3 linked regions of the Cricetulus griseus genome follow. The protein of the gene in region 3 purifies or fractionates together with the protein of the main gene of each other region. This does not show direct contact. Links are inferred from orthologs where the notes say so. Each region holds a gene or a part of one and is shown on either strand. Other genes may lie near its edges. The genes, in order: Skap1, Cd36 and Fyn.

Region 1 (10,664 bases), on a different chromosome or scaffold from region 3:
CAGCTACTAGCTAGGAACACAATGACTTGATTATGTCCTGCATAGGGGAACGGGAGAAATTGTTAAGAAGGTGAAAGCCTTGGAACTAAATCAGACGGAGGGCTAGAGGGTATGGACTCTGCTAACAGGGGTGAGAGGCACTTAGGAATGAGGAAATCCTTTGAATGGCCACTATGTAAATCCCTCCTCGCTTCCCCTGCACCACCAGCATCTCCAGCCAACGAGGTCTTCCGTCTGCATTCACAGGCCTGTCCTGTGAATAGTGTCTTGGGGAAACTGAGGAAGAGGATAGGCCTAAACCAGGATTTCTCAACCTCTCAACTAGTGACAGTTTGAGCTGGAAAAGTCTTCGAGGTTGGGGCTGTCCTGTGCGTATATTCTAGAAAGTTCAGGAGTATCCTCACTTCTGCTCACTAGGAGCCGGTAGCCTTCTCACCAGTGGTGCCAATCAAAAGTGCCCAGATACTGCCAAAATCTCCTGAAGGATCCTGGTTGGCAACAGCTGTTCTAAGTCTAGATAACCAGGACAGAGCATGTGTAGAGGCGTGGGACCTGTGTGGTGTGACACTCTGAGATGCCTGCTTCTTGAAAATGACCTAGAGCCGGAGGAGAGTTGTGGGTTTCCCCCGGGAGGAAGTTCCCACCAAGAGTTCAGAGGTCTGGGTAGTCCTAACGTCTACACTGTTCTCAGAATGAAGTTCAAATAACCCATTCACACCCCACCCCCATTCCGCCCCCAGCTTCCTTGCCATGTGAAACTTTGCAAGCATGCGTTTGTTTATCTTATTGGTCCATCCTGGCTTTCTACAGGACGGGAAACTTGTAAGGACTCTTTCAAGGTTCCCATTCATCCTTTAGAGCAGTGAATCTCAACTTCCCTAACTCTGTGACCTTTAATACAGTTGTTCATGTTGTAGTGATCCCCAGCCATAAAATTATTTCATCGCTACTCCATAACTGTAATTTTGCTATTGTTATGGATCGCAATGTAAATATCTGATATGCAGTTTGGGAATCTATAGAAGGATAGTTTGAAACCCCAAAGTGGTCTTGACCCTGTGGTTGAGAACCTCTGCTTTCCAGCCTATTGATGATTTCTATGAGAAACTTTACGAGGATGGAGAGTAGTTTGACCCATTGTCTTCGTTGTTATCTAGCCTGCAGTTTGCTGAACGTCTACACCTTGGTAGACTCCCAAACATACAGTGTTTCTATTCTGATGTTTCAGTTGAAATTTTGCTTTGTAGAATCTTCAAGGTGGCATTTAAAAAATTCTGTATCAATCTAGTCTTGTATGACTAAGCATGTTTGAAGGGGAGGGCTCTGTTAACCTCACAGAAAGATTTGTTTCAAGTGTGTGCTTATCTGTGTCTAAAAATGGTATGTCCTTTTTGTTTGTTTTTTTGTTTCCTTTTTTTTCTTCCTTTGTTAATTTGAGACAGGGTTTCTCTGTGTAGCCCTGGCAATCCTGGAACTCACTGTGTAGACCAGGCTGGCCTCAATTTCAGAGGTCCATCTGCCTCTGTTTCTGAAGTGCTGGGATTAAAGGCATGCGCCATCATGCCTGGCTAAAAATAGTATTTTCCAATTAATTATAAGTTTTAAAAATGAAATGTCATTTCCCCCTCTTTTGTTTGTTGCATCTGTTTAAATGATAGGAGAAAGAGAGTTCCAGATTATTTTCTTCCTTAGCCTTAATTATCAGACACGTATACGGTGCTTAATACATTATACATATTGTTTTAACTCATTTTCAAATATCTACCATTTAATCTTCATATCATTCTGAGAGACAGGTATTACTAATATTTTCCTTTTATGGATGAGGAAATGGAGCATAAGATCAAAACAACCATCCATATTGGAGTGTGGACAGAGAGGACAAGGATACAGCACATTCCATACAGGACTGGTGGGGGTGTTCTTCTGTGTATATATTTCTCTTATTGGTTGATGAATAAAGCACTGTTTGATCAATAGAGGCAGGAAGATAGGCGAGGCTAGGAAATGAGAATTCCAGGAAAGGTAGGCAGAGAGGGACTTCGAGGGAACTCTATGAAGACCACAAAGGAGTAACAGGTCTGGGCATTCTCTGGTAAGCCAAGACCACATGGAAATACATAGATTAATAGAAGTGGGTTAATAATTAAGACAGAGCTAGCCAATAAGCCCTAGTCATTGGCCAACAGTTTTATAATTAATATTGTGTGTTTATTTGGGGCTAAAGCGGCAACGGGACCTGGCTGGAAAGAAAACTCCAGCAACACAGGACCCACGAGAAAATACTAAAATTAAAGAAGAAATACCCTGTTCATGAAATATAACTTCTATTTCTTTTGAAATAGGGCCACGTATAAACCAGACTGACCCCCGCTATATAGTTGAGGCTGGCCTTGGACCCCTCATCCTCCTGTCTCTACCCCTTAAGTTCTGAGATTAAAGGAATGTACCACCACTGCCAGCTTATTTTTATTTTATTTTAACAAATCTAAATAGCCACACATAGTTAGTGGCTACTATGTTAGAAAGCACAGCTTAAATATCTGAGATGAGACAAAGAGTCCAAGAAAGAAGCTCATGATACAAAAAGTAAGCAATCAACAAGGGTGACTGGAAAAATGTTATTATAGATATGATTTTGAAATGTCATATAAATGCACACATGTCAAGTTCTTGAAACATAATGTACATAATAAAACATTGATTATTTTCTTGGCTAGAAATCTTCACATTGACAGAAAGAACCAAAAGACACCAGCTCATTAATATTTGTTAACTTGAGGGACAGGATTACATTCTTTTTTAAATCATAAGGGTAAAGCAGACTACGGACAAAATGCTAAAATGTGTAACTTCTAAGCCCGTTGAAGGCAGGGGAGCAGTATTTAATAATTGTCTTAGGCCGTTTGGGCTGCTCTAACAAAACAGTTTATAAGCCACAAATATTCATTTATGCTATAAACAGTTTGTAAGCAGCAAATATTTATTTTTCATAGTTTTCCAGACTAGGGAGTTAAGACCAAAACACTTTCAGATTTGATGTCTGGTGAGGACCTGCTTGACTTTTTAGAGATGACACTTTCTGTGCCCTTGCGTGGTAAAAGGGGCAAGTAGTGACCCTAGGGCCTCTTTTTATTAGAGCTCTGACTTCCATCAGGACAGTCAATAACCTTCCAAAAGTCCCACCTTTTAATACTACCACATTGGTGGCTGTGTTTCAGCATGTGGATTTGGGGGAGACACAGGCATTCAAACAGTAGTGGTGTCCTAAGCAAATGCTCACAGACAACAGCAAGTAAAAAACTAGAAGTAGAAATACAGTAGACAAAACTGTCCACACAGTGTGCCCTGACTAATAAAATATCTATGGGCAATAAGGAAGAAAAGGTGTGGAGATGTATTGATAAAAGGAAGAGCCTGGGAAGGGTCAGGTATTAATGGCAGAAATCAGCAGAGGGTTGTTGAAGTAAAACAGGGATTAACTCAATGTAACCAGAGAAGCTGGGCATTTCTGTGGTCTTGCCTGGCTAGGACAGTCATTTATGCTTAAATGGTATATGCAGATAATTTGGGGGTTCTTCTTAGAGCAAAAGAAACCTGGAGTACTAGCCAGTAAGTCCATGGAATTAATTCAATTAATTAGTTAAAATTAACATTTTTGACCTATCTTAATCCTTTTTACCCACAGACCAAAACAAACACCTCAACTGTTTTCTTGGGTGCAATGCCAGTTACAGGCAGAAATGTATCCATTATTCTTCTCAGAAATGCGAGTTCTGCTTTAGCGGTTCAAATTCTTTCACACAATATCCCCTCTAGGAACACTTTTATTGGTATTTGGTTGGTGGAATTGTTTTCAGCAGCACTGGGTCATTCATCTTGCCTCCAAATAAAAGGTTGATTGAAGCAAACTTTTGAGTTTTAGAAACATATATCAACAAAGAACATTTGCAACTGTTAGCGGCACTGACTGAAGTATTTTCCCCCCAGAGTGTCAGGAGTGTTTTTGAGAAAACAGGAAGAAGCCACATTTATCTTTCAGTCGTTAGGAAAAAAAAAATGTGACCCTTAAGATGTTATTCTTCTCCAAATAAACAAAATAGTGACTTTGTAAAGGGACAAGGTCAGAGAATTTGGGGAAAATATCAGACACTCTTACTAGCCTTGAACCAGGAGGTCTGGGCCCCTCCTGGCAGGCAGCCTTAGCGCATTAGTGGGTATTTGCTGGGACATGATGACCGTATTGTGCCTCCAGTGTGGTACATGCCTTCTACTCCCTTGTCCCAGTCCTTTATTTATTTATTTTTTTCTTTCCTGTTCTGACTTCCTTGCACAGATGTCTGAAACCTGAGGGCGTTTTCCTTTTAGGGCAGGTGTGAATTTTAATGTCTTTGCCAAAGCTGTGTTTACCTTTTAAATATGAGATTTAAAGCAATCGTGTGTTACTGTAGTGCACCATACTATGTGTTTATGAGTGTGCCTTCTAGATGAACATTGCCGCCTTTCTTTCCCCTCCTGACCTTGTTTAGCTCTTCAAGTTTAAATCTCTTCATTCTCTGTAACTCACCTCTGTCCCTGACCTCCAGAGACATTTGTGAATGTCACTCCTACGCTCCGCACTTCCCTTTTTGGTAGCTCCTGTCATAATTCTAGTTGTGCATTTGACTGTCTGTCCTTTGCTCGTGTGTGTCCTGCTCGTTTTCCCGGTGCCCATTGAATACGTGATGAAGAATAGAGGCATTTGTGTGTGTCATTGTTTATGGCAGGTGGCTGGCATCTTTTCCTATGAGGACTTGAGTGTCACATGGTATTGCTCACTCTCTAGCTGAAGGCAACTGTTGGGCAGACCCCATGAGTGCCTCATCCTCCTTATTGACACTGGATATTGCAGTTGCAGAGACCCCAAGGCATCTCGATCTGGCAGCTTTTTAAAGAAATTGAGTGCCAAATGTCAAATCCAGGAGCTTGCATATACACCAGGCAAGCTCCAGTCCCCACAAAGAGCTCTTGTTAGCAAATCTGTTATCTACTTAATGGGAAAACCTACTAGCAGAATGGTGACTAGAGAGAGGTGGGGCATTGCAGGACAGCTTGAGATCTCTTTCCTATCTGGCATCTTCGAGACGGCTTGCCCAGGCCCCTTGGGTTCTCACCGTGAGAAGCTCCACCTTCTCAATCAAAGAGTGAAGTAGTTTCTCTAATTTCTTTCCTTAGTGTTTTCATATCAGGATTTTGCTGGAGGCTGAACGCAATATCAAAAACACAAGCCTGCATGTAGCCCTTCCTTCTGACTTCTTGTTTTCTTGGCTCTATATTTCACCTAGAAAGCTTGTGGGTGTATCTGTAGAGTGCATTCTAAATAAACAATGAGATCAATGGCAGAGGTCATCATTGTGTCTTTTTACTTCTCCAAGAAGATGCTGATTGCAGGTAAAGAAACAAACACTTCACTCCTGAAGTATCTAAGGAAAGGCTTTCTCATAATTAATCGGAAGGAAAACTAAAACAGGACAAGTTTTAAGAAAAGAATCAACTCATCCTTAGCAGCCTCGACAGGGCCGTAATTATAACCCATTGGTACATTTCCGCATATGGAGTAGGCAGGTATTTTACTTACAAGAACTTAGTAAGGACCAATATCAACTTTACCTCAGTAAAACTGGGTGGAGGAAGAATTTAGTAGGTAAATTCAATGATTTCGTGTGTGCGTGTGTGTGTGTGTGTGTGTGTGTGTGTGTGTGTGTGTGTGTGTATGTGTGTGTGTGTGTGTGTGTGTGTGCACAAGTTCATATCCATGTGTGTTCTACAAGAAGAAAGTGAACAGTTTGACTTACCACATCACATAAGATTTCTTTATCATCACCATCATCATCATCATATACTACAGGAGACTGAACCCAGGCCTGAGCAAGGTAGGTAATACCCTATCACTGAGTAATATCTCCAGTGCCTTTTGTATTTTTATTTTGAGAAAGTGCATCACTGAATTGCTAAGGCTGGCCTTCCACTTTCCATCCTCCTGCCCCAGCTTCCTGAGTAGCTAGGATCATGGGCTTGTGCCATAGGACCCAAACATAGCATCATCTTTGCTGCCCACTTCCTGTACCTGCCCATTGGAACCCTACCCTGTTAAGGACTATGTGAAAGCCAGTCAGGTCCTCTACCACTGAATGAATCCAGGGTGGGGAATGGAAAGTAAAGGGTCTCTAAACCGTGAGTATCTCAGGGTTTACACTGATTTTTATTGTACTATTTTTTTCTATTCTGAAACATACAACTTAGAAATAGACACACATCTAGAAATACAAATAAGATGGTAAGAATAGCTGCCGTTCCACCACCTGGTAGTGACCTCTGCTGAAGTTCTGATGCTCATCACAGTGCCCAACCGGAGTGTGGCAGTGACTCTAAAATGAATGCACCGAGCCCTATATTTTAACTTTCTAGTTAGTTTGTGTGTGTGTGTGTGTGTGTGTGTGTGTGTGTGTGTGTGTGTGTGTAACTTTCAGGACTTGATTTTCTCCTTCCACCATAAGGGACACAGGAATTGCACTCCTGTGTTCAGTCTTGGAAGCTAGCGTTTTTTACCCATCTTGCTAAATAATCAGATTTAGCGCATTCAGATTACATGGTTTACAGCTTTTACTAATTGAATTTTTGTGGAAAGTTTAGGTTTACATGAATATTAAACAGGTGATGCCAAGTTCCCTTAACCCTTCTCTTTCCTCCACTTTCTCTTAATTAGAACATTTTACGTCTGTGTGGTGTTGCATTAGTCAGGGTCCTCTGGAGGAACTGAACTGATAGAATGGATCTATTTACATGAAACGGAATTAATTTACTAGAATGGTTTACACGCTGTGGTCTGGTTGGTCCAACAGTGCACTTTGCCAACAGAAGGGCCAAGAATCCAGTAGTTTTTCAGTCCATGAAACTAGACATCTCAGCTGGTCTCTGGTCTGTGTTGAAATACTGAAGACGGGGGTTCTAATAACAGCAAAGGAACCTCTCAGCTGCCACATAGCTGAACTTGATGGTGGGAGAGAGGGCAAGCAGGCAAAATGAAAAGCTTCCTCCTTCCGTGGCCTCTTATGTGGGCGGCTACCGGCACGTGTGGCCCAGATTTAGGGTGGGTCTTCTGACCTCAAATGAGCCTGATTTAGGGTGGGTCTTCTGACCTCAAATGATGAGATGAAGACAATCCCTCACAGGCATGCCCGACTGCTTGGGTTTTAGTTGATTCCAGATGTAGTCAAGCTGACAGCCAAGATTAGCCATGACAGGTGCTTTGGTTATGTCTAACGTACCAGCATCATCACATACCTAAAACCCACAGTTCATTCAGTTTTCCTGATTTTACTTAATGCCCTTTTTCCATCTCAGGATCCTATCCAGGATACAGTCAGGTCTTCTTGGGTGCCTCACAGCTGTGACTGTCTCCCACACTCCCTTTGTTTTTAATGAGTGTAACCTTTTGAGGAGTGCTGGTCAGGTAAATGTCAGAATGACCCTGTATTAGAATGTGTCTAGCATTCTTCTCAGGTTTAGACTGGGTTACAGGCTTAAGGGAGGAAGATCACAAAAGTATCATTTTCACCACATTGCATCAAGGGTCCACACTGTCGGTGTGATTTATGATGGTTGATGTTGAACCATGAACACCTGGCTGGTGTCAAGTTTCTCCTCTGTGGAGTTGCTCTATTTCCCCTTTCCTTTCTGCAGTCTTTTGGAAGAAAGTGGCTGTGTACAGCCCATACCCAAGGATTGGGAGGTATGTTTCCTTTATCTTGGAGTAAAATATCTACATAAATTATTTTGAATTCTACACTATAGATCTGTCTTTTACTTCCCATTTGTTAATTTACTTAATTACTTATATTACTTATGAACTTAAGAGTATTTATTTATAATTTGGGTTATAATTCAAGATTATTTTGTTGTTGTTCAGATGTTTTTTTTTTTTTTGTCAAGGTCTTACCTTGTATCCTTGTCTGACTTGAGTTCTATCTCTAGTATAAGTGTGAGCATGCACTACACACACAAACACATAGACAGACACACCCACAGAGACACACACACACACACACACACACACACACACACACACACACACAGATGTGGACCCAGACACACACACAAACACACACGGACACACACACAGACTTGCACAGGCAGACACAGACACCCTCCCACCCCCCACCCCGCCACACACACAGCACCATGGATGGTCATTTTACTGACTCCTCATTTCCGAGTCTACTTATGTCAACACCTTTCCTTCCAGTGAAGCTATTCCATCCATCTGTAGGATGGTTATGTCATGACAGTCTACATTTGAGATCTTCCAACCTAATTGAGAAATGCCTCTATAAAATCCAGCTGTGGGTCATTTTCTTTCTTCTGTTTTTGTTGTTTGTTTTTGTTTTTGTTTTTTCGAGACAGGGTTTCCCTGTAGCATTGGAGCCTGTCCTGGAACTTGCTTTGTAGACCAGGCTGGCCTCGAACTAACAGAGATCCATCTGCCTCTGCCTCCCTAGTGCTGGGATTAAAGGCATGCACCACAACCGCCCGGCTACAGACAGGTGATTAATCAGCTTTGGGATCACACGTATTGTGTTACAAGCGTTGCTGTACCCAGGTTTTACTTGGGTAGCAGAATTTGAAATCAGGTCCTTGTGTTTGAACAGAAAGCATTTTACCTACCTAGCCATCACTCCAGTCTCTCTTTTAAATTTTTAATCAAGACTTAATAGAGCTAGAGATATGGGAACAACAGAACACTTGCCTAGAACACACAAGTTCCCAGGTTCATCAGCACTGACAAGAGGGAGAGAGCAATGGGACATATTGTTCTATAAAAAGGTCAGTTGGCTTCAAGTACTTGGAAGCTCAGTTACTGGGTTCATATTCTTTTGTAATTGTTATGTCTCCCAGTGATGTGGCCCTTTTGTCATTTTGAAATAACCTTCTTTATCTCTGGTATTTTCCCCTGCCTTGAAGAATACTTTGCCTGACATCACTGCGGCAGTTCTGACTTCCCTAGTCTTTCTGTCTGTCTTGCTGATTGTTTCCCATTCTTTTACTTCCAGCCTTCCTGTGTTTTAATATTAAAGTGTATTTCTTGTAGACAACATATAATTCAGTCTACAGGTTTTAGTATAATATCTTTATTCATTCCTTGAGAATCTCATGCATTCATGCAATGTATTTTGATCATATTCACTGCCTTCCTCCCCCTCCAACCTCTCTCATATCCCAGCTACATCCGGTTCAACGTCATGTCCTCTCAACCCACCAAGTCCAGTTTGTCCTACTCAGACACTCATGGTATGGGACATCCCCTGGATCTTGGTGAATCTACCAGGGGGACCATACCATACCCCTAATTGACTCTCCCTCCCCAAGAAACCATCAGCTTATGTTAGGCGCTGGTCTGCCCCTCCCTACCCATGCTGGAATATTGACTGTCTTGGTCAATTGACTGTTGTAAGCTCCTAGGGCAAAGGGTCTTGTCATGTTCAGAGGACTGTTTCACCCTGTGACACTTGCAGTCTTTTTGTCCTCTGCTCCACAATGTTTTCTGAGCATCAAGGAGAGGGCAGTATGCTTCAAACGTCTATTTTATTCTTGAGCCCTCCACAGACACCTGTTCTCTGTACTATGACTGGTTGTAAGTCTCTGCATTAGCTGCTGTTGTCCATACCAAAAAGCTTCTCTGATGAGGTCCGAGAGATGCACTTATCTATGGATAGAAAGATATATTCAGAAGGCATATTAGTAAAATTATAGTAGGTTCATCCCTAAGGCCAATGGAACTCCCTCATCATAGGCTTTTGGCTGCATTTTTGCACCAGGCATGAGTTTTTTCCTATGGAGCAGGCCTTAAATCCAATCAAAAAGTGGTTGATTACCCTATAACGTTCATGTCACGATTGCACCTCAGAAGTATCTTGCCAGGCTGGTTATCACTAGCTCTCAGCCTTCACAGCTGGTAAAACTTCTGGTACTATGAAAACTAGCCAGCATGTAGTATGCTTCCAGGATAGCACCAGCTTAATCTCTCCAAACCCTATGATCAAAGTGTATTAATGGGAGATGTCCTTCTGTACGCTGTGAATGTGTGTTTCTCTTATTGGCTGATGAATAGAGCTGTTTCGGCCAATGGACAGGAAGGGTATAGCCAGGCAGGAAGTATAGGCAGGGCTACCAGACTAGGAGAATTCTGGAAGAGGAATGTAGAGAGGAACCACCAGAGAGATACCATGTAGCTACTGGGAATGTAGGACGCCCAGGCACTCGCTGGTAAGATAAGGCCATGTGGACATACAAAGATGAATAGAAATGGGTTAATAATTAAGAGAGAGCTAGCCAGTAAGAAGCCTGAGCCATAGGCCAAACAGTTTATAATTAATAGAAGCCTCTGTGTGTTTATTTGGGACCAAAGGGATGTGGGACCAGCGTGGGACCAGGTGGGACAGAAACTTCAGTCTACAGTGTATGATGTGTTCAGCAGTAGGGCCTTACTATCAAGTTCTAATAGGCAGCCTAGAGCAATGGCAACAGGCTGTGCTGTTTTCATGGTCTTTGGTAACTCCTGCCCACCACCAATAGCTTGATGGGGATGGGAGGTAGTCCACACATGGCACTAGGCTTTTTATTTGGAA
Region 2 (10,564 bases), on a different chromosome or scaffold from region 3:
ATTCTATAACTGGGTAGGCTGAGGTGGGTGGATTCCTAGAGCTCACTGGCTGGCCTACCCAGCCGATTCAGTAAGCTTCAAAGCCCAGTAAGAGATACCTTGGTTCAAAAATGAAGATGAATAACCTCTGCCAAAATATCACAAAAATGGTCCCTAAGTTGTGTCTAAGCCACTTGCTAATATTCTTTTCCTCTAAACAATCTTGAGCAAGGTTTCACAGTTCAAATAGTCCTCAGCACTCTCTTCCATTCTCCTAATAGTATGGCCAATTAAGGCCCACTTAACGCATTCCACTGCTTTTCTAGGCCAAAGTTCCAAAGTCTACTTTCTGCCAACAGGCAGCATTGTCAGGTGTTTCAAAGAAATACCAACTTCCTGATGCCAAGTTCTGTCTTAGTCACAGTTCCATTGCTGTGAAGAGACACCATGGCCATGGCAACTCTTATAAGAAAACCATTTAGTTAGGGCTGGCTTATTGCTTCAAAGGTTTACTCCAATGCCATCATGAAAGGGGGCATGACTGCATGCAAGCAGACATGGTGCTGGAGAAATTAGAATTCTACATCCTAAATTACAGGGAGAAGGATGAATGAGACACTGGGTCTGGTTTGGGTTCGTGAAACCTGAAAGCCGACCCTCAGTGACTTATTTCCTCCGATGAGGCCACACCCACTCCAGCAAGGCCCTGTCTGCTAATTCTTCCCAAGTAGAGACACTCCCTGATGACTAGGCATTCAAATTTCTGCCTATGAGAGCCTTTTGTTTTGTTGTTTGTTTGTTTGTTTGTTTGTTTGAAATAGGGTTTCTCTGTGTAGCCTTACCTGTCCTGGAACTCACTCTTTAGACCAGGCTAGCCTCGAACTCACAAAGATCTGCTTGTGAGTGCTGAAAGTAAAGGCATGTTCCACTACTACCCAGCTATGGGACCTCTCTTATTCAATATGCCACACTCCCTTACAGATATGCTCATGGGCCAATAAGATCTAGGCAACTCTTCAATAGAGGTTTACGACTCAAGTCAGTCTAGGCTTCATCAAAATGATTAAGATAGCTAGGACATCTGTTATAATTGAAATACGCTGGAAGTATATTTATGCTTTGACAATAAAGAATATTTGATTATATGTTGAAAGCTAACTTGTGCATATTTGAATATATGAAATATACTACTTTTTATTTTCTGAAAATACCTCTCTTACTGGTATATTTAAAATCATATACACAACTCATGTTTTATTTGCTGACTACACTAGAAAGAGAGATTACTAGGATTTTCTTGGGTTCACATCACCTAAAAACATTTGTCACTGGCTTGATCGTTAACAGATGCAGCCTCTTTCCCACCTTTTGTTGAGAAGTCTCGGGTACTGCGGTTTTTTTCCTCCGACATTTGCAGGTAAGTTTCTGGAATGTAAACATAGACTTTTACCATTCCAGTCTTAATACAAAAAATAGAAAGCCTAATTATTTACATTATTTGAAAAATAGACAAATATTTCTCTTGCTTTCTTAAGAATGCATGTGGCAATATGGAATTAACATTCTTTATTATTTCAAGGTAGCCTATGCAACTGAACATTTTTTTTTTAGTGGAAGCCATTTTGTAATCATTTCTTAGTACTATTAATCATGTCTGCTGATAAACTTCCAACATCCATCAATCAAGGGAATGCCTGGTCTTTCTGAAGATATCTAGACAGGATGACATATCTGTTATAGAGCTGTATTAATAATTCACACAGTAACTTTTTAAAGTTGGTGGCTTCTAGAATATACCCATGAGTATTGAACTCCTCACAACTACTCCTGATCCTCAATCCTATCCCTGAAGATGAGACTAAGCAATCTTTAGACACCTCAGAATCATTGTCCTATGTATAAAACTTGGGAGAACAGTACTGTGTCACACTGGATTAACAGTACATAGAAACAATGAATATTAAATGAGCTGTGACAAAGTGAACTGGGCATGGAGGGCATGGAGGGTAGAGATTTGGTCCATGCACACACCCCACCAGGAGACAGGCTCTTTCTTTAAGTTCTTTTTAAAAGATGGAAATTTCGTTTAAATTGAGCACATGTAAACAATTTGAATAAGTCATATAAATATTTGTTGCATAGAAGAATTTAACTATGAGAAACATCTTTGACTTTTATTCCCCATGACAGTTCACATGTAAACTTGACCCCAGAAGAATTTTAAGAACTAAAGAATTCATATTTCATACTTGTGGTTTTAATCATGGTGTGTTGTAAATAGTGAAAACAACACCAGTAATTTTTCCTAAGAATTTAAAATTCTATCAGGAATCTATGACTGTTTTCTAAGTTAAATCAGGAACACAAACTAGATTTAAATAAATGAATCAGATCTCCAGAACAGGATTCAGGCTCCTAATATGAAGCTCTTTCTTCAAATATCCATGTAGATCCATCTACGCTGTGTTTGGATCTGATATTGAACTTAAAGGAATCCCAGTGTACAGATTTATTCTTCCAGCCAAGGCCTTTGCATCACCAGTCCAGAACCCAGACAATCACTGTTTCTGCACTGAAAAGGTCATCTCTAATAACTGTACATCATATGGTGTGCTAGACATCAGCAAATGCAAACAAGGTATGTAGATGTGCTTATTACCAAAATTCATGTATATGCTTTATTTAATAATACTTGGGAATTTTATTAATTAAGTTGTACCATACTTTTTGATAGGGCTAGAAAACATTGCATTATGAAAAATAAAGCATATTCACAAAGATAGATATCAAAAATTTTCTCTTGTATGCAGAATGTATAGTTAAATCTCCTTCTCTCCTGTGTGTGTGTGTGTGTGTGTGTGTGTGCGCGTGCGTGCGTGCGTGCGTGCGTGTATGTGTGTAAGCTTTGAAATTATAATGGGGACCATAATAGACAAGAATGAATTCCTAAAGTGGGGAAGATACAGCAATGAAATTCATGTGACAAGGAAGTTTAGATGAGGGCTGCTAGTTAGTTATGGAAAGGAATCCTCAAGAAAGAGTAGATGGAGGGGTTAAGTATCATAACATATAATGCAATATTTACCCATAATTCTTTTTATTAAATATTTAAAAATTAAAGAAATAATGGTAACCTCTGGTGACAGTGAATCTTTGGTGTTTTATTTATTTATTTATTTTTTAGGCTTCCGTTGTGTTTCAGTATTGCAAAATTAAGCTATTGGGAAAATCACATTGGTATTATGCCATGTTGTTTGGTGGTCAGGGAAAATTCCCAGGATACAATGAGTTTCCTAACCATCTACCATGGTTGTGGCTTTTTGCCCTTAGAAAATAGAGAATAAAATTAAATAAGCTTTCATTATGTCCCTAAAGTAAGAAGTGAAAAGTAAAGAACTCAAAGTCTTCCTTGTCTTGTTTACATTCTTTATAGTACAGTAAGAATAAAGAAAATACAAATTACTGAGATGTTCAGTGCTGTCATAGCACCTCCTGAAGTTTGAGAACATGTATGACGCCCAGATATGTGCTGTTCTCACTTGGTTTAGTGGTGAACATTTGAATTCTGGAAATCAGTGTCTGAAGAAACAGATGTCAGCTGGCTGCATAATAATAAGCAGGTGTAATTCTCTTCCCTCAGCAGTTCAAAAACATTTATATTTTAATCTATGAAAGCTTTATCTTCTAACAAATATTTTAAATGATTCTATGCAATGAAAAATAATCTATTTCCAATTGTCTCTTAAAATGTGTCTTCAGGAAGGCCTGTGTACATTTCCCTTCCACATTTTCTACATGCAAGTCCTGACATCTCAGAACCTATTGAAGGCTTAAATCCAAATGAAGAAGAACATAGGACATACTTGGATGTGGAGCCTGTAAGTTGTTGTCTTATTGATCTGATTTGGTTAATATTCTTCTAAAATTTAAGAAAATAATTTTATCATATTCTTGGATCATATCCTTAAGATCGCTAAAACTGCCAATGCGGCTAGAAACTTATTTCTTCCTATTCTATGCATACATGGCATATAATTCAATTTTGGTTTTAACACATGAAATCTTACAAGGCTTTTACTGGCCTAAGGATCCAGGAATTCTTTTTTTTTAATTTTATTTAAATTAGTAACAAGCTTGCTTCGCATGTCAGTCTCAGCTCTCTCTCCCTTCCCTCCTCCTCCACCTCCAATGGACACCCCCCAAACTTCTCACTCCATCTCCCCCTCTACATCCCAGGGATGTTGAGGCCCTCCATGGGAGATCCCCAAAGTCTATCATATCATCCCAGGCAGGGTCTAGGCCCTCCCCAATGTTTCCAGGCTGAAAGAGCATCCCTCCATGTGTAATGGGCTCCCAAAGTCCATTCATGTGCCATGGATAAATACTGATCTATTACCTAAGACCCCATGTTCAGGGGGTCTGGGTCAGTCCCATACTGGCCTCTCAGCCATCAGTCTATGGTCCATGAGCTCCCCCTTGTTCAGGTCAGCTGTTTCTGTGGGTTTCACCAACCTGGTCTTGACCCCTTTGCTCATCACTCCTCTCCTCTACTTCTAATAATAATTTCATACATCATCATCATTATCATTATCACACTTAACTGGCATTGTTTTTGTGAGGAATCTTTGCTTTCAGGAATCAAAGATATTACCATTATATGTAAGTTTCAGAGAAAATCCATAACCAGACAAATGTATAACAGTTGTATTACTGTTATAGTACAACTATTAACATTTAAATTATCTTAGTGTTCTTTTCAAAACCTTGAAGGGAGACTATGGTTGCAGCTCAGTGGTCTAACATTTGCCAGGCATGTATGCTCTGAGACTAGCTCTCAGCTTCTAAGAACTGTGAGGGACATATTTCTGCTAAAATAATGGAAGTCTGTAACAGAGCCTTTTACTGATATGTGGACTGTAACTAAATAAATATCTGAACATATAATTTAGGAACTAAATTAACTATCTGAATTTGCCTTTTTTATATTTTTTACTAATGTTTTTGATTTCTTCTAAGCCAAATTATGTGGATTTAACAACTTAAAGAAAACTTTAATGTTAGCTAGAACAAGAAAATTCTCTCTCAAGATATATATATATATGTGTGTGTGTGTGTGTGTGTGTGTGTGTGTGTGTGTGTGTGTGTGCGCACAAACACATGTTGGACATGATTGCATATACTTAAGCACAAAGTTTAATAAACTCTAATTTCCCATCCTTAAGAATTCTTCCCTTTTAAATTCTAAAGAACTATCTTTGTGTCACAGAATGGTAAAACCTGACTATTACAAAAGAATATTTTAGAAGCTTGTATATGTTTAACTTCCTCTTTTTAGATAACTGGATTCACTTTACAATTTGCAAAACGACTTCAGGTGAACATCCTGGTCAAGCCAGCCAGAAAAATTGAGTGAGTCTCTTTAACATGTTGTTTTATGCAGTGAGTAGCATTTTCTTACAATAATGTGGGTAGAATAGTAAAATTGGAATGTCTTAGGGTTTTTCATCTTTACGTCATTGCACAATTATTAAATGCTTAGGACTCTTTTTACTAGAAGAATCAGATATAGTGCTTATTGAAAAGGCTTTTAGATATTTTAACAATGTTAGTTGAATGTTGTTGGGGGCTTCTCTTATGTGCATTATTACTACTACAATCACTTCTATATCATATACTTTCCTAGATTTAAATTTGTACCTATAAACCAATAATATAATTAGAAATATACATTAGCTATATGAATTGAGAATCTGGAAAACATCTGTTTTATAATGTATTCATTGAGCAGAACTTGAGCAATACATGAGATTAATTGAATTCTGAAAATTTATTTATTCTAAATGTCTTTTATATATGTATGAATATACCAATAACTATTTTTGATGTGTATTATAGAGCATTAAAGAATCTGAAGAGAAATTATATTGTACCTATACTTTGGCTTAATGAGGTTAGTATTTTATTATTCATTAATTACAGTTTATGCAAAAGATTTGGTATTTTTAAATGACATGTACTATAATATTTGAGGATGTATTTACATTTCCTATAAACATGATCTTACACTTTGACATCTCTATTAGAAAAAAGCTAATTTACATAGGGATATTTAAGTTTTATGGTTTGATTTTAAGACAGACAAATGATTTTACACATTTTACTTGTCATAGTACTAAACAAAGAGACATGCATACATGTAACATCACAGAATTCAAGACTCATTGAATATAACAGTGGTATTAAAAAGCCAATTTTTCCTAAACATGACATATTAGAATATACTGACAACCTTTTGACCGATAAGCTATTTTACTGTAAACTGCTAAATTGATTAATCACAGATTTAAAAAATGCATTGCAAAAACCCTCAAAGCAAGCACAACTGTTGATCTCTGCAATTTCTCCCTGACACCAGGAAGCAACATTTGGTAAGTTGTGAAATACCAAAGAATTCCAAAGATCAAATGAATGTTGGTACATAGCTGAGTTCTATTCACATAAGCCAAGTGGGAAGGGAGACATCTGTACACTGGCCTGTGCAGTGCATCTACTTTTGGATGCAAAGTGAATTGTACTGACTTTCTGATGCAGCTTATCCTTACCCAAATGTTTAAAGAAAGGATGGCATAGAATTATTTTGTTTCATTAATTTACTCAAATAATATTAATTGTTAACTTGATTACAGACTGGAACTATTGGCGATGAGAAAGCAGAAATGTTCAGAAATCAAGTGACTGGAAAAGTAAAGCTTCTTGGTCTGGTAGAAATGGTCTTGCTTGGGCTTGGAGTCGTGATGTTTGTTGCTTTTATGATTTCATACTGTGCTTGCAGATCCAAGAATAGAAAATAAGTAAGTGCTCTAGCAAAGTATGTATTCTTTTACTATTTTCATCTTACTAAAAATGGCTATAAATTAGGGCAAAATATTTCTAGACATGTTTAGCCAATTATAATATCTTAATATAAATCCCAATTTTGATTTTGGTAAATTAAAAAACAAATGATTATTTAAATGGTGACCACTGTAAAATTAGCATAAATATAGCTTTTGTCTAAATTTAGACTTACAAATTTCTTTTGTGTCAATCATTGAAAATTATAATTTATTAAAATTATAATTATAAAATTTTAGTAGATTGAAATTCATAAGAGCAAGATAAAAAATGAAGATATAGGAATATATAGATTTTGATGAAACAATGTAAACAAATATCATCATAAAACTTGATTGGCTGCCTATACACATTAGCCATACCTTTTCCCATTCATGGGTTAACAGCATAGCATCCTGATGATAAAGAAATCACTAGGTGAAAATTAGAACATAAAATTACAAGAAAATCAGTTAATTAATTGAGTAACCTAGTTTAAAGCAAAAGTAGGTAATTGTAGATAATACTTAAGAGTTTTGGCAAAACTTTTGAGGGTGTTCAAGGCACTATGTATATTAATGTCCAAGTTTTTCTACATAAAAATGAAAGTGTAAGTAAATTAGCCTGGGCTAAAAGTGAACTAACTTGGAAGGAAAATTTCCCAATATATGCCCCCCACACACACAACAAATGCAGCATGAGTAGAAAATGCTTGGTTTGAAAGATTAGAAATTCCAAATAAAACGCTTTATTCTCCTTAAGTTAGAGATTAACCATAAATTGTCTTATGTAGAAATTTTTATTTTTATCTCATTAACTGATATTGAACAAATACTAACCATGCTAGACTTTTATTTTGTTTTGTTTATTTTTGAGACAGGGTTTCTCTGTGTATGTTTGGAGTCTATCCTGGCACTCTCTGTAGACCAGGCTGGCCTTGAACTCACAGAGATCCACCTGCTTCTGTCTCTCAAGTGCTGGAATTAAAGGCCTGCACCACCAATACCCAGTCATGCTAGACATTTTACAAGAATTATCACATCATTCCTAACTGAATTTTTTGTGTTTCCAGTAACTTGAACTAAACACTATGATATGTCTTCTGAGACATTATAGAATATTATAAAATATCTAATTGTCTATGTTGAAGTCTAGGTTAATCACATTAGTGTTTTCAAAACTAATGTGGAATTTTACCAATATTTATTTTGTGGGAAATTGAACATTTTTATTGGATAAAGCAGCTCAATGTTGTGCTCTGGATAATTTCTACCACTCATTCTAAAATTTGTTTGCACAACATGTGCTTAGAATGCTAACCTGACATGTCCACATTGTAATAGTTAACATAGGAGGGGGAGTAATGTCAGGGAAGCTAAGAGCATCATTGCTCTTCCCAAGGACCCAGAAGGTGGCTGCTGGCTCTGGGGGCAGGAGGTTGATGCCTGCTCCTGGCCTCCACAGTCATTGCACAGGCTGATACACAGATATACATGCAGGAAAAATACTCATCCGACTCATGAGATCAAAGCAGCTAAATCTACAGCACAGAAACATTATTTTCAATAAAAAACAGAAGAAAATAAATAATATTCCCCTCCAAAAGTTAAAATACCTTAATATTTCCTGTTAGCCCGACAGCAAGTTATGATGTATATTCATGTGTCTATGATAGGTTAAAAAAAACTATCCACTAAAATTGATCAAATCGCTCCTCAAGTACAAAAGCATACCTATGCAAGTTATAATTTTCTTTAATTACATGATTAACTTAATCATTGCTTAATTATCCTCCAATACAAATTTCCTTAGATTCTTCTATGACTAATTGGTAAAAACAATTAAAAACTTTTAATGTCTTCATCACTAAGTGTCTGTTTTATGAATGCTTTCCATTGTTATGAAGAAAGCATTTTCCCCATAAACAGACTTTCCTTGGCAATACCTTGATTGTTCCAGGCTTAGAATTTTGAGGGGCCATGCTGGAACATTCTAAAAAGCATGTGTCTGGCACACATCTGTAGACAACATCCTAAAAGGAGACAGCTGTCTAAACGGAAACATGTAAAGTGTTAAAGAGAATGTAGTTTACTGCATACATCATGCGGGAAATGGACCAAGCACATTTTGGTTGTAGTGACATATCCTCCTCTTTATGGAAGACAGTCTTGAGTGTATTGTGATGTTTGGCAGCTGATTTAATTAGCTACCCTCCCTGGTCTTATTATGCTCAACTCCTGCAAGTTAGGATTCAGCTTTCAATGTGTAATTCGTGGATAGGAACATGTGTTCCCTTAATGATGAATCTCTTAGAGGATCTCTCTCTTAGTTTGAGATATTGGGCTGTATAATTGAAAGTATCATAACTTGGATATGTAGGGAAAGACTATTTTAGCTAATTGTTATCCCACTGCTTTCTGATTGGTAATGTTTCTTCTACTTTACAGGTAGCAAACACGACTACATTTACGCACTGGCTACATGAAGATTTTTGATAAAACCAATCTAAAAATGAAGACTTAATATATGCTTTGTTTTTACAAAACACACCTATATTTAGTTGAAGAAATGGTGGTGTGTGTGTGTGTATGCTCTCTCTCTCTCTCTCTCTCTCTCTCTCCATATATATATTATATATATAATATATATATATTCACTAAGCCAAAGCATATTTCAAAATGATTAATTTGACACTGTAGCCTATATTTTTATAAAATCCAGTACTTTGTAAAGTCCGTCATTTGTAACCTTGAGTGGACTTCAATTTCTTTAGAACCAATTTTTCTTGTTTGGTTCTGATTTATTGTTGCACTCCATGATGGCAAATTTCAAAAGTGTACATTCTGAGCAATTTTTCTTTTCTTCATTTGTGGGAAAACACCATCATGTATGGGGTGTCACCTTCATTTACTGCAAATGTACCTTGGGACTATTAACATAAAGTATCTCATAAGTATGAAATATATGGAAAGATATTTAAGATTGAAAAATGAATAGCAGGCATATGAGCCATTGCTTATATATTGTTTGTCTCTTCCATGCTAGAGTCCTTGGCACAGCAAGGTCAGAAATCACAGCGATTTTCTTTTTTACTTCCTAACACTGAGCTCATAAGGTTTGTCCCTCACCATGAAATGGACATTTTTAGCTTTTCTTACTTAAAGTATGTTGCCATATTCTGTGCTGCATAGCCCTTTTAAAACCTGAACAGGCTTTCCTCTTTCTGCTCAGCTGCAACTAATGCAAACTCAAGAGTTGTTATAGTATTGAGATGTAAATGATAATAAAGGAATTATTTTAAGGAATATTAGAAATGCTAGAATGTGCTTTACAGTGCATTTGTGGAAATATCTTCTACTTTCATAGTCACCTAAGAAATGACTGGTTTCTAATATTAAAAGATATTGCTCTTTATATATGAATGTTTTGTCTAGTTCTCATTGCATCACAAAATGTCATTTTTTTCCTGTGGAAGTATTCTATCTGAAGCTATATAAATATGTAACCACTCTGCTGTGTCTTAATCCAATTGGAAAAGACATTTTTGTTTTGTTTTTATAGTAACACTGTGAGACTAGAGGCTAATTTCTTTCCAGTGGGAGACACATCAATAGGTTATTCTGCTTCCTTTAGCATAATGTCCTGTTGTAACACACACACACACACACACACACACACACACACACACACACACACATATATATATATATGC
Region 3 (9,779 bases):
CTCAGTTTGCAAAAGAAATCTGGTATCAGGTAACCTGAGTGTCATTTCCGTTGTTATAACATTTATTTACTCACCGCAGAAGTCCCGATTCCCACAGCCATGGGGGAACTCATGTGCCAGTGTGAACAGAAAACCAAACACGCTGACTACAGATATGGCCCCTCTGAGGCCCCTTGGAAAGCCACACAAATGGAAAGTGGTAAAACATTAGTACTTCTTCTGTAAGACTTTGTCACAAGCAACTGACAGCAAGGTGATGGCTAAGGTGTTTGTTTGACAAAAGGGGAAACTGAGGGTGAAGGAGATCAGGTCCCGAGGGATGGCAGAAAGTCAAGAAGTGACGTCGTGCTCTGCCAATGAAAGTCATTTTTATTCCTTCATTCAAGAGCCTGAAAGAAAAGTGGGGGAGGGTGTCCTGAGCTCGTGTAGTATTCAAAGAGCACTGATGCTCAAGGAGAGGAGAGGTGAGGACCAGAGGTTATCCCTTTGGGAGAAGAAAATGTGTGTGCATATGAGACTACGTGCTGGCCACTGCAGAGTCAGGGTTTGGAAGGAAGGGTTGGAAATCTGACCTCTTGTATTTGAGAAGGAAGCCAGCAAAATGACTCAGAAAGAATAATGCAGTCATAATGTCAGGAAGCAAATGAGCCCATGTGGCCAGAGGACAGTGTTAGGGGCAAAAGGACTGGACGTGTGAGAGCCATGACCATGTGTGCAAATGCAAAAGAAAGATTTGAAGGGAGACTTCAGAACAGCAGGTTGTGGAGACCTGTGAGCTCGAGGCCACCTAGCAAGATCACGTGAGAGTGATCCTCCCAAATGACCCCTCTCCAGGGAAAGAGCAGAGGCCTGCCGCCGATAGCTGAGCTGTGGAGCACAGAAGAGGGTAGAGAACAAATTGGGTAATGGGCATTTTAAAAATGTTACCATGACACGTTTAATTGAGGTTCTGTTTGTGAAATGAAAACTAGCTGAGCCCTTGCTGAGAACTGTGCGAAAGGTTTGTTGGAAGTACCAGTTCTGCAGGAGAGCCCACGTGTGTCCTGGCCGCTGGCTGGTTGGACGAGAGGAAGTCCCAGTCCCCATCCACTTGTCACTCTCAGCCAGTTGCAGTGTCTTATATCCTACTTTTCTGGCAAATCTGTCATCAGCATGTTTCTGTTTCCCTCAGTGTATAGAATTGTTCATGTACTCCCCAGAGGAGAGGACTGGAGAGAGTGCATGAATGGGGTGGGGGAGGGGTGCTGCAGGAAAGGGAGGTGGCCAGCTAGGAAGATGCATTAAAGCTGACAGTGTGGCCCTTGGGGTCTGGCCCAGTCTTTGTCCTGCATAGACTGGGGTATGGCTCTGTCCCATGGCTACAGTGACCCAGAAAGGAGGCCACCCCAGAAAATGTAACATGCCGATTCAGGTTGTCATATCTGCTGTGTCCGAGTCTTGGGCAGAACACTGGAAAAACAGGATTGACCCAAATGGCCAGTTAAAGTTTCCATTGGCAGAGACTGAATTAAAAGTTTAAAAGAAAGGAAATATTTCCATTTGAGGAGTTTGGTTTTTAATGAAATAAAACGTTGCTGACTAAAGATCCAGAGAGCCATGGGAAAGTGGCTAATTGGATTCTGCGGTGCCGCTCTGGGCACTTGGTACCACACAAAGCCTTGGGATGGGTTTGGGATGTTGTGGCTTCTCCCATAGAAGCCTGTTGCACGCTGCAGGCATCTTTGGATCTTTCCTCCAGTTCCAGGGGCTCCTCACAGGAGCCAGAACAAGGGAGACTCCTGCAGACTCAGGCTGTGTGATTCCAAAACCACTATGAAACTAAGAGTTTTATCTACTGAATTGTGCAGCAAAGAATTGCTTCAGAGAATGCCAGTCCCAGTGTGTGGCACCCTCTCTTCCTGAGGTGACTGTCACTTGGGCCGCAGCTTCTTAGCCAAACCCCTGGGAACAGATACACATTTGAATCAGACTTTTTATTTTTTAGTCAATGCAACAGAAGTGTGTCCTAGCATGGAAGAAGAGTCTGGGGCGGAACAGAGGCGAAAGTAAGCGCCATCACAGCACCACCAGATCATGGAGGGTTTGTAGCCAGTTCAGATCTGTGATGCTGCCAAGTGAGTTACAGTAGCTTTCTGATTTCCTGAGCTTATTGGAGTTCGGCGCTGTGGCTGAGGAGGTGGTGGCCTCTGTCCCTTACCATGTTGGGAAAGGGCTGTGGTCCTGTGCCTCCCCTTGCCTCCAGCTCCCCACCTAGATCCTAGCTCTTCCGAATTGGGAGGAGGATCTGAGCTCCTGAGCTGCAGGCAGAACCCAACAGAAGAAGGCAATCCTACACTGGGTTCTGACCTCTCCCAAGGCAAGGGGCTGGCCTGATGTTACCACCTCCAGAAGTGGTAAGGTCAGAGAAAAAGCATCCTACAGGGGTTTGAATAAACAAGTGGCTGGAATAGTTGTAGCGAGGAGACCTAGGTTAGGCCCAGCTTCCAAAGAGTAAAACTAAGAATCACCTACCAATCCAAAAGTGCATGTCTTCCACCGAAGGGAACAGGACTCAGTACCTCTGGCCAAGTAACAGGATTCTGACCAGGTGGTCACCTCCATCACCAGAATTAAAGATGGCTGCATTGCATATATGTGGCTTCCCTACTAGTGACAGCCCTGAGTTTCATGCTATAGATGACAGAAGATTGTAAACTGTCAGAAGTTAGGGAGTATTCCAGATGACAGGTTCACAAGGTCCTGTCACAGAGAAAGAAGGGCATGATATGACAGACAAAAAAAAAAAAAAAAAAAAAAAAAAGGCAAGGGCGAGAGTACCTGAAAGTAGCTGGGAGGTCACACTAAGTGTGGTATTTCCTGTGCTGTCAGGAAGGCCAGTGCAGGGCAGGCTGTGCTCAACCTCCCGCCACGTCCAGTCAAGAACATCAGCACTAGGCAGTTCCTGCATAGGGGCAGGAAGGTGTCAGATGATAGATGGCCTGCCCGAGGTCATCCATAAACAAAGGCCCTGCCTCCCTGTCAAAAGTTCCCAAACCTCCGAGCACTATGGGGGTCACCAGGCCAGATGGTGCCCAGCCCTGCTGGCATGAGGGCAAGTCTCAGACACTGTGCACAGGCATGGTGAAAACTATAAAGGCCCTAAATGGATCGTGTATGTTCTGCAAATAGTAGACTGCTTGCTCATATTCCATGGGGTATTTGTGTGTGCGCTTTGTTCATACAGAGGTTTCTTTTTAATTGTGTTTGTGTGGGGATATCTGCATGTAAATGCAGGTATCTGCAAGGGCCAGAGGTGTCAGATCTTCTGGAACTGGAATTACAGGCAGCTGTGAGCCGCCCAGTGTGCATGCTGGGAACTGAGCCCAGATTCTCTGCAAGAGCAGGACACACTCAGAGCCACCAAGCCATGTCCCCCACTCCTACGTTTTTATCTGTTTGACTGAGGTACAATTTACACACAACACATTTTGTCTAAGAGCCACGTCAGTACACACATGCTACACTGGGGTCACAGCCTGCAGCCCATGGGCCAAGCCTGGCCGCCCACCTGGTTTTATCTTAAGTCCTTTCTGTGGCATGAAGAAAACAAAGCTTGCATTCGCCCACCCAGACAAAAATATTTGCTGTTGGCCCCTCACAGGAAAAGCATGGGCATTGGACACACCACTTCTCTCACTTCTCAGCTCCCCCTGACCTTTCACCGGTGTTCCCTACCCCTAGCAGCCACTGATCTGCTTTCTGTCATGCAGTCTTCTGCCTTCCTGTGGTCTAACATAAATGAAATCATCTAGTATGTTGCCTTTTGTGTCTGGCTTCTTTCACTTGCAGTGCTTTGAGATTCACGGTCTGGGCTTTTGCATCTATGAGTTCTTCATTCCTTTGTTCCGTTCTTTCTGCACGGTGTGACAACCGATGAAAGGCATAGTTCCCCTCCCAAGAGGGTGAATGGCATCCCTATGCTTTACCTGTGTGACATGGTAGTCAAGGCCTAGAGCCCAGGCATGCCTGCTCTCACTGCCCCTTGTTTTTGTAGGCATGAACAACCGGGAGGTGCTGGAGCAGGTGGAGAGAGGCTACAGGATGCCCTGCCCACAGGACTGCCCCATCTCCCTGCACGAGCTCATGATCCACTGCTGGAAAAAGGATCCGGAAGAGCGCCCCACTTTCGAGTACTTGCAGGGCTTCCTGGAGGACTACTTTACCGCCACAGAGCCCCAGTACCAGCCCGGTGAAAACCTGTGAGAGCCTGCTCTTCAGAGACCTCTTCTGAGGCCTCCCCACCCCTCCCCATTAGCTTCCAGTTCCGTAGCCAGCTGCCCTGAGCAGCAGAACCGTCCAGGATCAGATTGCATGTGACTCTGAAGCCGGCGAACTTCCACGGCCCTCATTAATGACATTTGCCCCCCAGTCCGAACCTCCTCTGTGAAAGCATCCAGACAGAACCGTGTTATTTCTCAGACTTTGGAAATGCATTGTATCGATGTTATGTCAAAGGCCAACCTCTGTTCAGTGTAAATATCTGCTCCCGTGCCAACAATCCTAGTACTTTCCTTTTTTAAAAAAAAAACAAAATGCAAATCCTATGTGATTTTAACTCTGTCTTCACCTGATTCAACTAAAAAAAAAAAGTATTATTTTCCAAAAGTGGCCTCTTTGTCTAAAACAATAAAATTTTTTTTCATGTTTTAACAAAAACTGATCAGGACAGGTGTTTGTTTTTTTTCTTTTTTATACATATGAATATATACGTAAAATGTTCCTGTATATACACCATGTGGGTGCTACCATGGAGACTGTGGCCAGCAAAGGCCACATAGTTACAGGGCCCAGAGTGAGGATCACTGGGGAAACCTGCATCTAAGCACTGGTGTTATTTTGAAAGCCGGTGGCCTCCGTTTTTTACTTCTACAAAGCATGATTTTCCCCCCTTCATTTGGATTGCACTTTTTCAGTTCCAGTCATACCTGTAGATTGTTGTTCATGTGACTTTTCAGGTCCCTGAGCTGAGTTCACGCATTTTAGTGCCCGTTTCGCTCCAGCGTACTGTGATCTGTTCTTGCGACTTGAGAGTGAGCACACTTAAGCAAGCAGCCATCCAGTCCTACCCTGAGGGCTGCAAGACGGAGACCGCATAGACTTGCTGTATAGATATGAATGCTGACTTGTTTTAAATGTTCTTCTTTTATTTAATAAATCTTGTAACCACATTTAAATGGTCTAAAACCCATATAGCATTGTAGTCACGGCAGCCTACTAAACTTTCTCATGCAGCTAAAAATGACGGGGAAGGCAAGGGTGGGGGGTTGTACATGTCCCATTGTAAAATAAGTGTTCCAATGTCCTGTACTGCTAATGAATGACTCTCCATGTCGAGCGTACTCCAGTCAATAACTATGCACTACTTTACATTTCATGGGGGTGCACAAGAGGGTTGCGTTTTCAGTTGCTGTTTGTACCAACCTTGAATTACATATGTTTAACAACAACAAATCAATTCCTATTTCTATTGAGTTTTTTAATACTGAATAGCAACTCTAAAGTCTTAATTCCTTTTTTGTTAATGATTTATTTGTGAGTTTACATTTTTAATTGTTTAACTTTCTTAATTTAGTAATTAAAAAGAGAGCATTTTACATTTGAAAAAAAATTTGTTCATTTGTGTACATCACAGGAGGTACCATAGGCGTTCTGTGACATATCTGTCCCACACCAGATGGTGAAGAATCACCTGGTGAATTTGGCCATTGGGCAATGATTTCCAAATGACAGAAACATTCAGAACATCTGGAGACCCTCCCCACTAAGAGTCAAAGTGATTGTCTGACTAATTCAGAGGACTGTTGCAGCCAAACTGGGCATTCCTGAGTGTTGTAGTCTATCTGACCCTGTCTCTAAATGAAATTTACTGTGTCTCATTTGTAGAGGAGAGAGAATAGTCTTTCTTGATCTTGAGACATAAATACATTTCCAAGTATCCCTCTACTTCTCTAATGTTTTCTAATGACTAATGAAGTTGTTAAGCAGGAGTCTATGTGGTGGGTGGGCCAGGTAACCGTCCACCATCATTCCTGCAGAACCTGCGTCGTCTCACCTGCCAGCCAGTGTGCCGACAGGAGGTACAGATGCACTCTCCTTGCACCCTTAAGACTCCAGGGTCTCTGGTGTCATATGGAGCCACACAATGAAGAAGAGGGTTTTATTGTTACAGAAATAACATTTACCTTTAAAAAGGCTTTTTAGCATTGGGGGGATATAAAGCATTTTAAAATCAAAACTTGATTATTTTGGATATGACAGAATTTCAAAATTTTATTAGGTACAATTTTTATCACATTGGACTTCTCATTAACAGGTTCTAGATTTTTTTTATAAAGATAACTATTTTTAATCCTTACCTTGTGTTAGGTAATTTGCAAATATTCTCTGGAGGATTTTTGTTTTGACTTACTGAAAAATTCTGAAAAAGAAACTGTTTTAATTAGAAATTTTTAGAGAAAAAAACGTATTTGCTTTTCATTTCAAGTGAGTTCACTGTGGGTTCTTGTCTATAAAGGAAAACTGAGAACATAGGTCAGCGCCAGTGCCCACTTACGAGAGCAGAACCCTGGAGCATTCTGGAATGTGTGTGCAGCATTGAAGAACAGAAGAAATGCCATCAGGAAGAAATCAGAAGGGTCCAGGTTTTCCCAAGCATCTACTGTGCTTTCGAGCACTAGTCCCCAGGTCACCTCTATGCTAATCTCGATTGGTCCTGAGGTCTCCTCTAGGGAGGCACAAGTGATAAGTGTTGGGGTCAGGGAACTGAAGTTGCTTACCAGAAAGTTCTTACTACAAAGGAAAACATCACTTTCCTGTGACCCAGGTGAATTTTTTGTTTGTTGGGGAGGGGGGATTCTTGTTGTTTTTGTTTAGTAACTCAGAATGAGGACATAAGTACTTGCTGTCTATGAGAGCCACCAACTGGCATTGCTCAGCTGCACAGGATGCCTTCCCAATAAAATCTAAATAAATCCAACACAGAGCTGACTGGAGAAGCCCATTTTCATAGCTCAGGGGTAAATGCGGATAAAAGGGTTCCTCTTCACTCCATTGTGGTTGCATCACAAACTCAGGTTGCAGCAATGAGATACCTCATGGGACCCCGGTAGATGCCAGGTCCCACATGTCAGCATCAGCTCAATGGACTTTTCGAGGCCCTGCCCTGGTGGGAACAGGTGTTTCCATGGGGAAAGTCAAGGGTGATCATGATCCCTCAAAACCTTCCACATGACTCAATATTACTCACCTGGAGACAGACAGGAATCCTTCTGTGGCTAACTCTTGGCAGCAGAGGAGTTTCCTGCTAGCACACAGTTTTTGTCCACAATTTCTCATGGGGCTGTAACAGAGTCTGCCGTGTTAATTGGAATGGTTCTTTGATGGGCAGCATGCTGAGGAGAATAGCACCATAGCTTCCTTCAGAAGATATGACTTCTCTATTGTTGGCCATGACGCAGAACAAGAAAACGCACAGGCTGCGTGTTTCCTAACAAGCTATCTTTGTGTAAAATGGTGTTTGGTCAGCTTGTTCTGAAGGATATTTTAATAGATTCAGATGGCTTTTGTTGGCTTGCTTTCCATTGTATGTTATACTGTAAGATTCAGTTAGGCTAATGTCAAAAATCTATTTTCTGGAGGGAAGATGAGAGGGAGAGAAAGAAGGAGATTGGCTTTTTATCCTGGAGAGGGAAAAAAGCAGCTCGAACAGCGTCATTATCTATGTCTATTTTTTTTTTAATTTTCAAATGTAGATTCTAACTCCATAGAAAATAATGAAAAAGTAATGACTGTAGTATCCTTTAAATATCAAATGAACCTTCATAATAATTTGTGTTTGTATCAATATTCAGAGAAGTTTCATAACATCCAAACCATTCCTCATCTTTACCCAATATGCAAAATGTTCAGAATCCTATGGGGAGGACATGGGGACCAATATATCCTTGTTTTACATTAAAAGTGGGAACATATAGCTAAGTGATAGAGCACTTGCCTTGTAAACCTGAGGCCCTGAGTTCATCCTCTAACACCACACACACATGCATGCGTGCACGCACAAATCTAGAGGTTGAAATATAAATAAGTCGTTTGTGATTCTGTATGAACGACCCTGTGAGAATGCAATGCTTGACAAATGACTGCTCTCCCAACAGCCACAACAACTTGCTCATCTCAGAGGTACTCGGAATGCATGGCATCACGTGCTTCATGCCGCTAGTGTGTTTGATAGTACTGCTCTTCTTCCAGGCAAGGCTGAGCACTCCTCGAGACCGGAAATGGCATGGTGTTTTGATTTTACTCTTCTTCACCTTGAACAATGATGGGCTTCCAGAAGGTGTGGGGTTGATGCATGTGTGCATGGCTAGATGGGTAGTGCCCACCAGTCAGTGGGGTGATGGTTTGCCTTCAGATGACACTCTTATGTGAGAGCTTGCTGAGCATGAGGGAGCTTCAGGGTGCTGCCTTGGCACTGCCCTGCCCCTTACAATGTGCAGTCATCAGTCTTCAAGATAACTGGAAGGCTCCATCTGCAGCCTGAAGCAGGCATAACCAGTGATCCCACCCCTCCCCCAGATCTCACCCCAACACCCATGGGTAGAAACCCAGACTCCTTAGAGCATGGTAGCTGACGGCACAGCGTGAAAAGTCACCAAGTGAGGTGTAGTCTACAGTGATCAAGGGAGGTCCTATTTGAATGTGATGATTTTATGGAAACATGATATTCCATTTCCTAAGATAACCATCTGTTTTCATATAAAAATGTTTCTCCAAACCATCCAGGTGTGCAGTGTCCCCAGCCAGTGGCTTGCAATATCCCTATCACAGCTCTCATGACTAAGCTACTTCCAGCCTATGTGAGAAGCACTACTTGAAGTGGTAACATACTTTTGTGTGGAGACTGAACATGGGAAAGGTATCACCTCCCCCGACCCCACGAGGCTTTTCTGATTTCCCTTCCCACTCAGCTGAGAACAGCATGATGACTGAATGGAAGAAAAGGCAAGAGAGAGCCTAATGATGGAAAGGAAAAGACAAGCCACCCTGAGCCTCCTGGAGATAGAGATTGGACAGGCCTCCTTGGCCAGGATGTTCCAAGTAAGAGCAGAGAAATGGAGGCCTTGGACAAAAGAGAAGAAGCCTAAGCTGGGAAGAGAGGCACCTGGGTCGTCACTCTTTGGAGAAAGGTGGGTACACAGGAGGACTAGTTTATGCCTTGCTTCCAACTTCTGGTGTGCGATCTTTGTGAGCTTGACCATGTCCACCAAAGACTCAGACATACAGTTAACTTCACAACCCAGTAAAGACAGAGGCCCAAAGAACTAGCTGAGACCAGCTGTCTGTAAGGGACACCCAGGACTTGGTGGAGGAGAAGTGTCAGCTCTGCATAGGGGCTGCAGGAGGACTGCTGCCAGCACCAGTGGAGGTGGCTTAGGTGTTGCAGTATAGGGGCACTGCCTGCCTTTCAAGGTGACACCTGATTTCCATGCTTTGAACAGAGAAGTTGCTTGGTAAATAGCTCTCCCTTCCTCCATCCCTCTATCCCTCCCTTCCTCCCTCCCTTTCTCGATAGAGGGGTGGTAAATGACACCATTCAAGGACAGAGAGTAAAGCGCTTCGGGCATTTTTGTTAGTTTGTTTGTAGATTAGTTTGTTTGTTGGTGTGTGTGTGAGTGTGGACAAGTGCATGCTGCAGCATGCATGAGGAGGTGAGAGGACAGTCCTTGCCTGCCACCTTGTTT

Evidence for each region.
Region 1: the proteins of Fyn (region 3) and Skap1 purify together in Homo sapiens (affinity purification with western blotting; 3 studies listed by BioGRID and IntAct, with this or other methods). This does not show direct contact. The link is inferred for Cricetulus griseus from reciprocal best matches to the Homo sapiens genes FYN and SKAP1.
Region 2: the proteins of Fyn (region 3) and Cd36 purify together in Homo sapiens (affinity purification with western blotting; 3 studies listed by BioGRID). This does not show direct contact. The link is inferred for Cricetulus griseus from reciprocal best matches to the Homo sapiens genes FYN and CD36.

The regions. Positions count from the first base shown.
Region 1 is NC_048600.1:109,630,965-109,641,628, forward strand, and holds the start of Skap1 (src kinase-associated phosphoprotein 1), read left to right. Parts: upstream 1-5,375; coding exon 5,376-5,430; intron 5,431-10,664. UniProt on the Homo sapiens protein: Positively regulates T-cell receptor signaling by enhancing the MAP kinase pathway. Required for optimal conjugation between T-cells and antigen-presenting cells by promoting the clustering of integrin ITGAL on the surface of T-cells.
Region 2 is NW_023276806.1:176,319,358-176,329,921, forward strand, and holds the end of Cd36 (platelet glycoprotein 4), read left to right. Parts: intron 1-1,326; coding exon 1,327-1,396; intron 1,397-2,429; coding exon 2,430-2,617; intron 2,618-3,738; coding exon 3,739-3,857; intron 3,858-5,314; coding exon 5,315-5,388; intron 5,389-5,874; coding exon 5,875-5,929; intron 5,930-6,665; coding exon 6,666-6,830; intron 6,831-9,299; 3' UTR 9,300-10,274; downstream 10,275-10,564.
Region 3 is NC_048595.1:262,063,146-262,072,924, forward strand, and holds the end of Fyn (tyrosine-protein kinase Fyn), read left to right. Parts: intron 1-4,033; coding exon 4,034-4,242; 3' UTR 4,243-5,207; downstream 5,208-9,779. UniProt on the Homo sapiens protein: Non-receptor tyrosine-protein kinase that plays a role in many biological processes including regulation of cell growth and survival, cell adhesion, integrin-mediated signaling, cytoskeletal remodeling, cell motility, immune response and axon guidance.